Linked DNA regions of Macaca mulatta. The protein of the gene in region 2 purifies or fractionates together with the protein of the main gene of each other region. This does not show direct contact. Links are inferred from orthologs where the notes say so. Each region holds a gene or a part of one and is shown on either strand. Other genes may lie near its edges.

Region 1 (3,801 bases), on a different chromosome or scaffold from region 2:
TCTGTCACCCAGGCTGGAGTGCAGTGGCGTGATCTTGGCTCACTGCAAGCTCCGCCTCCTGGGTTCACACCATTCTCCTGCCTCAGTCTCCCAAGTAGCTGCGACTACAGGCGCCCGCCACCGTGCCTGGCTCATTTTTTGTATTTTTAGTAGAGATGAGGTTTCACCATGTTAGCCAGGATGGTCTCAATCTCCCGACCTCGTGATCCGCCCACCTCAGCCTCCCAAAGTGTTGGGATTAGAGGTGTGAGCCACCCAGCCTTGGGTTTGTTCTTAATCACAGATAAGAACTACTTTCTCCACCCTTCCAAATCCCTGAAATTAATCTCTTATGGAGTTGGGAATGGGAACAAAACTCTGTCAAACATAGCTCACAGTCATTACCTTATTTGGCCCTCACCAGATCCTTGTGAGATTATTTTCTTTATTTTAAAGATGAGAAAATATGTAAAATTTATTATTCTAGCTAAGTGGTCTGGAGTTGCTTTGAAGTTCACATTTGCTTCTAAAATTCTGTCAACAAATATTAAATGCCCCAATACGTTTTGAAATAAACTAGTAAGTGCTGCTTGTTGCTTCTTTTTGTTATAAAGCTTTTATTATTCTAGCAATAATAATGTGTGTTAATTTTAGGAATATAGAAAATACAAATAAGCAAAAGGAGAAAAATCATTCATAATCCCACCACCGAGAGGCTATACTTTCTTTCATCCTTCACAAGTTATGTCCATATATGTAATATACAAATGTACTTTTTACCTTTCAAAAATATGATATTCACATATTACTTAGCCTTTTTTCCATTTTATATCCTACCAAGAACCTCTTTTTTACAAATGAGTAAAGTTCTTTTATTAAAAGACAGAGACTTGTAGATTGGTTCAAAATACAATAAACAATGAGATGCAGATAACAAGAGATACATCTAAAACCATTAATAGCAACAGGTTATAAGTAGAAATATGGACAAAGGAATATCAGGAAATGCTAATAAAAAGCAAGCTATATGGTATTGTTAATATCAGATAAAAATCAAGGTAAACTACATTAAATAGGGGTAAGGGTGGTTTCGATTAACCTTCCAACGCATCACTATAAGTTTGTTTCTGACTCTCCTTATCTCGTCTATTTCATCCACTTCTCTAAACATATCTTCATTGCTTAAATGCCTGTTGTGTATATCTTCTTTAAACTCCTGGAGAGATTGAATCAGCCTTTCTCTAAAAGTTCCTTTTGCTTTGGCCTCCTCCTCTAGCTTCTCCTCCTCCTCCTCTGGCTTTTCCTCAGGCTTTGGCTCTTCCTCATGCTTTGGTTCACTCTCATTTTCTGGTTTTCCTTCAATTTTTTGACAGGATTTCATCTTGTATCTCTACCTCTCTTCCTTCCTTCCTTCTTTTATTTTTTTGCTTATTCTTCTTGGAATACAATAACTTCTAGAAAGCAAAAAGAAGACAGTAAGTTAAAGACTTGGTGAGTGGACAGGTGTTGTGGACAGAGGTCTCAGCATTTAATTTTTTTTTATTCAGACTGTTATAAAATATCTTCCACTAAGAAGCCCAGTCAGCAATCAGAGCTTCACTATCCCCACTCCTCTTACCTCCACTTTCCACCTCCTCACTTCTCCTGTCCTTCCCTCTAACCTTTTCCAAGGCCCTTCTTTCCGCCTCCCAGCCCTCCCCAATCCTTTTTCCCCCATAGGGCCTAACACAGGGACCACGCCAGAAAAGAGAAAGGTGGCTGGCTGGCAGGCAGAGGAAGAGGGGAAAGGAGAAGGGGGAGAGAAAAGAAGAGGGGAAAGGGGTGGGGTGGAAGGGAGCCGGCAGGAACAGTGGAGCTTACAACCTTTGTCTCCACCCCAGGAGACTTTATAATATTCCTCTCACCTACCTGGCACTGATCGGGTCAGTTTCTTCCTCCTCCTTTTCTAGCTTTGGGTCTTGCTAGAAACAACAGACCTGCAGACAAACGGGAAACGGGAGGGGACGGTGGGGGTGGGGCGAGCGCTTGGTGGGCCGACCAGCGCCAGAGACTGACACACGTAGCTTTCCTCCTTTAGGGTTTCGAATATGGAAAGTTTCCCACCTTTTGTTTCCTCCAGTTCACCCCCTATCCACAGTGCATGCAAGTCACTTCGTTTTTCCCATCAAACAAAGAGTGAGAAAGCAGATTATTTCCAAACTATCTTTAAGACTGAGGCGGGTTCGGGAGGAGGGTGGGGGTCCAGAAAGCAGGATTAGATAGCAGAGGACGATTATTTTTAAACTATCACAGGTCTACTTGTTCTTCTCCTAGGACCCCTAGTCCCTTTCCCAAGGGTCATCAGTTCCTGTAGACCTGGAGGTGGAGGGTGGAGAGACGGACCTGACTGGCACTCCCACAAGTCTCTGCCTTAAGCCCCCCCACCCTAGAAATCCCCAGTCAACACCTACATTGACACCAACCTGCAAAATTCCCGCAAGTTTCACTCCTTCCACTAGCCTCAGGGACCACCGCCTGCACTGCTGAAGGAAGCTGGTATCCAGACGGGAACAAGGACCAGACTACCAGGACTTCTGCACACGTCGACTCCTGGTCACATGAGATCTACGTCACCAGTGAGCTCGGGTCCCTAATTTCCACTCCCACCAAAAGCGCGGCAGAAGTGGGCCCACCCTCTGCTCCCTCCCCGCCCCCCACTTACACATTTGGCCCTGTCAGTCTTTTCTGTTGTTTCCTATCCCGGAGGGAAAAATGTTATTTGCTTGACTCTGATTACTAGGGAGGGGCTACCTCTTTTTCTGGAGCTATTGAACTTTTCTACTTCTTTCGAGAATTGTCTCTTCCAGTCTTCCGCTCCCAGGATAACTCCTCCATCAGTCGTCCCTCCCCTAGCCTCCATTTCCTCTGCAATCTGGTTCTTAGCTGTTGTGGAGCAGGGTGGGCTTGGCAGCAGTTGTGAAACAACAACAAAAGACCCTGGAACAAGAGTGAGATGTTTTAATGCAATTTTTACTGTTTATTCTTCATACTTCTATATTCTTTTTTTAAAGGTAACTTTAATCTTTCTCTCTCTTTTTTCTTTCTTCTTTCTTTCTTTTTTTTTTTTTTTTTTTTGAGACAGAGTCTCACTCTGTTGCCCAGGCTGGGTTGCAGTGGCGCAATCACAGCTCACCGCAGCCTCAAACTCCTTAACACGAGCGATCCTCTCGCCTCAGACTCCCAAGTATCTGGGACTACAGGTGTGTGCCACTATGCCCAGCTAGTCTTTTAATTTTTTTGTAGAGACAAGGTCTATGTTCCCCAAGCTGGTCTCCAACTCCTGGGGTCAAGTGATCCTCCTGCCTCAACCTCCCAAAGGGCTGGAATTACAGGCCTGAGCCACTGAATTGGGCAACTTTTATCTTTTTATAGTCAGAAAATACAAAGACAAAATTACTTTAATGACATGAGTTAATATATGTACAGTGCTTAGAATAGTGCCTGGCATATAGTAAGTGCTTTTAAAGTGAAAGCTGTTGTTATATTACACATTTGTGAGGAAGATGATTCAAAATTTTTTTTAAAAGAGTAATGTTTGATTCCAGAGTCCTCATGGTGGTGTTACCAGGAAGCTGTGCTGCCTGAAGAATCATCAGTTAATCAATTGTCAGGTACGCATTGTGAGCCTGAGTTTCCTCATCTGACAGAAGGGAATAATAGCATATGCTCATCGAATTGAGATCTATTGAAAATAAAAATGAGTTAATTTTTCATCTATACAATTAGAAAATACAAATATTTATTATATTCAGAGTTGAGGATATGGTAAAACAAATATTCACA
Region 2 (4,112 bases):
GTTAAGGAACACAGACCCATAAACAGGGGTGATAAATGCTATACTAAATTTGGAAACCAAGTACAGGAGGAAGACAGGAAAACAGTGAAGAGCAAAGTGAGGGAGAGGCTATCAGCTACAAGACCAGTTGGAAGGCTTTTGCTCTAGTCCAGGGGAGAGGTTACAAGAGCCTGAATTAGGGTGTGGCTATAGAAATGGAAGGAATACAAGTAATGTTAATAGGCTAATTGCAACCCTACTGTGAAAACCTTACTGGTTGCAAGCAGTACGAAGGTGAAACTTGTCCAACCAAGTCAAGGGCAGTGTTGCGCGCGCGCGCACGCACGCACACACACACACACACACACACAAAGTAGTAGGACAGCTGAATTAATCAACTATAATTAAAAGCATACTTTTATTTGGCTTCGGTTATCAGAGTGTTTTAGTGTGAAATATTTAGATATTTGCCCCCATTTTCCCCACTTAACTCAGAAGCTGGAGAAACATTAACACATATGTATAACGCTTTCCATGTTTTAGGTTTTTTCTTAGCGCTTCACATTTGTTGACTCCTTTATCCTCATTAACCTTTATTTTACAGATGAGGAAACTCAAAACATAAGGTTAGATAACTTACCCAGGGTAAAGCAGCTGAGAAGTAGCTGGGAAGAAGCTCAAGCATTCTGGCTATTCTCAACACTACACCAGAATAAACGGGGCCGACACACAACCTAAGGCAAGTCACACTTCTGTACTGGATCGTGAAACAATCACTCTTATGGTTGACAAAGGTTCTGGGATCGCAATTTCCCCACCTATAAAATGGAGATAACGACGCCGGGAGTTTGGTGCAGAGAGAGAGAGAATGAATATGAAAGTGAACTTCAAACTATGTATATGGCTCCACGTACTACTTTTTCCAAATATGAATACGGGAACCCACAAACTGCAATTTATCAGTCGGTAGAGCTCGTAGCGCCAGGGCGAGACTCCGCCTCTAGGGCCCCGCCCACCGCGAGCGGCAGGTGGGGCCGGCAGATCTTCTTTGCGCATGCGGAAACCGCTGCCCGCTCCCACCTCTAAACCAGGCTCAGAGTAGCTGCTGTTTCTGAGAGAACGATTCGTAGGACAGCCCCTGACGCGATTCCCTTTTGCCCTTCTTTCTGCGGGCCTTTCTGGTACTTGAGCGGTGTCCAGAGCGTGACCAGTTCTCGTCTATCCGGCTGTCTTTAAGGAGCGATGACTAGCGTTGGCCAATAGTTGGCTGTCGAAAGTGCCGGCCCCCGCGCCGGCGCCTGCAGCAGCCGGGTGGGAAGGCTCAAGATGGCGTGCCTGTTAGAGACCCCAATCCGCATGAGCGTCCTTTCGGTGAGTGACCCGCTGCGGCCGCCCGCCCGCCCTCCAGGGAGCCCCATCCCGGTCTCCACCATTCCCCCAAGCGTGGTGTGCCTCCTGGGCACCACCCCCTGGGGTGGTCCCCGGCTCAGTCTTGGGCCAGGGAGTGAGCGAGGGTGGACAGGCGGGATAGACGGGCAGAGGGGACCCCGGCCGAGCCAAAGACATTTCCAACTCCGGGAGCTCCTGCCGGTGCGGGTTTCCAGGATGGCGTCTGGCAGGCGGGGTAGCTGGGCTTACAGACAACTGGCCCGGCGGCGCGGCTTGGACTTTGCCAAGCGTTTCACTGAGCCTTCCTCTTAGAGATGCCGCTTCCCGGGGGCCGAGCGCTCTGCCTTGTGAAGCGCCAGGCTTGCAGCCGGCCTGGGAACGAAAGCTCACTCAGCTCTCCCGGGCTTTGGCAAGAAGAGGTGCAGGCTCCTTGGCCCCCATTTCCTCAGAGCTGCCAGGCCAAGTCTGTGCGACTTCTATTGCGTCCCAGCACCTGGGCACCGGCTGAAGCTGTTTGCTTTTTGGCAATGGTGATTCGTATCAGCTGCGACTCTTCCTAGTGTGTGTGGTTATTTAAGCCCCTTTCCTCCGCTCTGCTCAGAGGTCGCGGCTCTGAGTCAAAGGAACTCTATGTTCCCTGTGCCTGGTATTCCGTTTTTCTTTAAGGGGAGTCAAACATTGAAGGGGGGAAAAGGGGGAGAGATTTCCCCATTGTTGAAAGAAGGGAACGTATTGACATGCGAGGAAGTAAAACCTGTTTTGTTTTTTTTTAAAAAAAGTTTTTTTTAAAGAAAAAGACGACTTTCACCTTTCACTATGTTGCTCTTGAACCAGGACCAGGAATGAAAGTTACTGGGAGATAACTTCGAAGGATTTTGCAACAAATTCGAGCTGTCCGACTCTGAGAATGGTCAGTTTACCAATGGTTCATTTGCTATTGTTGGAAACAAGCAGGCACATACTAATTGACCATCTTTTAGACTTGTGGAAGCCCGTCTGATACTGAGAGGGTCGTTGGATTATAAATGACTTGTCGGGTTGCTAGAGTCTTGTAACTACAACCGGTTTCTTTTCTCTTCTCTGACTTGTCCCACAAACACCTATCTGAAAGCAGCTAGGACATTTGCTTATGATTCAGGGTTAGAGCGGTGTGGCAGACCTCAACCTTGAAAAGGCTTAAGTTGTCAATACAATAATAATTTAATTTTGTGAGCCTGTCAACAGATTTTTCCCCCGATCCATTTTAGCAGTCGTTTTTTCTTATTTTTAAACTGCAACTAAGGAAATACCGTTTACCTAAGTATTATATCAGATTAGCCTGTTACTCCATCACTGACTGTAATACCCAGGAATATTTTGTGGGAGTGCAGGCCAATGACTTTTACCTCATTATGTTAAAAAATAAAAATAAAAAAAGTGTGTGTCTTGGCTGTTCTCAGTTCCCCTTTAATTATGCATTTAGGTTTCATTTATTCTTCAGTTCACCTGAAGCTTACTTTTTGGATGTTGTCAACTTGTGTGATGCATATGATTTAAAGTTTTCATTTGTTTCACTTCCTTGGTAAATAATGTTTTCTGCTTATTCAAAAACTTCTTGAAGAGTATTTTCTATCAATACTTCTATTTACAATTTGCCTTTAGCCCTAGTCTAATTAGGGGCTTTTTTGGGGGGGGGGGGGAAGTAGGAGCTTTTGGGTAAATGATTTAAGATGTTTAAATTCACTGATTTTACTAATTTAAAGTAAAACCTGTACCTTTCAAAGTACTACCCAGAGCACCACGTTTTGAAACGCAAACTAGAACAGGAAGTATTCATCAGAAATTATCTTGAATGGTTGATTCCTTTAATAAGCTACAATGTACCAGTTATGTACAAGCTCTGCATTGTATACCTTAGAGAATGCAAGGATGAGATCAGAAATGTGTTTAAGGAGCTCCTAGTCTGAATGATGGTGTAACTTGATAAACATAATTTCAGCAAGGAGGCCTTCAAGTTGTTTTAAAGGATTTCCATTTGAGTCTCTTTATACCTTCTCCTTGGGAGATCTCATTGATTTTCTTATAACCTTAACTGATCAGTTCACACATCTACATTGCCAACCTTGACTTTCTTATACATCTAGTCTTGTATCTTAAATTGTGTGTGGATGACACCCATCGCTTCCAGCAAAGCACATTCCTTCTCCTAAGGGGAATTAGTTATGACTTCCCAATTTCTGTTAATGGTATTATCTTTTACTGATGAGTCACTGTTAAACCTCCTGAATAATCTCTGGTTCTTCCTTCTTTCATCCCCCTATATCTATCAGTTGTTAAGCTCTGTTGCTTCTTTATTCTTAGTGTTTCTCGTATCTTTCTGTTCCCATGACCACCCTCATTCAGGACCTTGTTGTTTTGTGCCTGCACTACCACAGCGTCCTTTTAGTTATTTTTACTGTCTCTAGTGTCTTACCCCCTCAGTGCAAGCCCAATGTCTACATTAATTTTCCTAAAGAACTCTGCACAGCTGCTCCTCGGTTTCTTTTCTTTATTGAGTTTGTTTTGCCTAAAGGCCCAAGTTTATATTCAGCTTCAGAGTTGAGATTCTTTATTTTCTTCTTTATCTTCTTTTTTGTTTTTTGAGATGGAGTTTTGCTCTTGTTGCCCAGACTGTAGTGCAGTGGCACTATCTTGGCTCACTGCAACCTCCGCCTCCTCAGTTCAAGAGATTCTCCTGCCTCAGCCTCCTGAGTAGCTGGAATTAC

What was found. The genes of interacting proteins can lie anywhere in the genome.
Region 1: the proteins of ARMC8 (region 2) and TCEAL9 purify together in Homo sapiens (affinity purification with mass spectrometry; 3 studies listed by BioGRID and IntAct, with this or other methods). This does not show direct contact. The link is inferred for Macaca mulatta from reciprocal best matches to the Homo sapiens genes ARMC8 and TCEAL9.

What each region holds. Positions count from the first base shown.
Region 1 is NC_133426.1:109,998,189-110,001,989, reverse strand, and holds TCEAL9 (transcription elongation factor A protein-like 9), read right to left. Parts: upstream 2,573-3,801; 5' UTR 2,442-2,572; intron 1,956-2,441; 5' UTR 1,888-1,955; intron 1,434-1,887; 5' UTR 1,361-1,433; coding exon 1,043-1,360; 3' UTR 566-1,042; downstream 1-565. UniProt on the Homo sapiens protein: May be involved in transcriptional regulation.
Region 2 is NC_133407.1:41,184,303-41,188,414, forward strand, and holds the start of ARMC8 (armadillo repeat-containing protein 8), read left to right. Parts: upstream 1-1,287; 5' UTR 1,288-1,305; coding exon of another isoform or gene 1,306-1,350; intron 1,351-2,147; exon of another isoform or gene 2,148-2,202; 5' UTR 2,203-2,275; coding exon 2,276-2,278; intron 2,279-4,112. UniProt on the Homo sapiens protein: Component of the CTLH E3 ubiquitin-protein ligase complex that selectively accepts ubiquitin from UBE2H and mediates ubiquitination and subsequent proteasomal degradation of the transcription factor HBP1.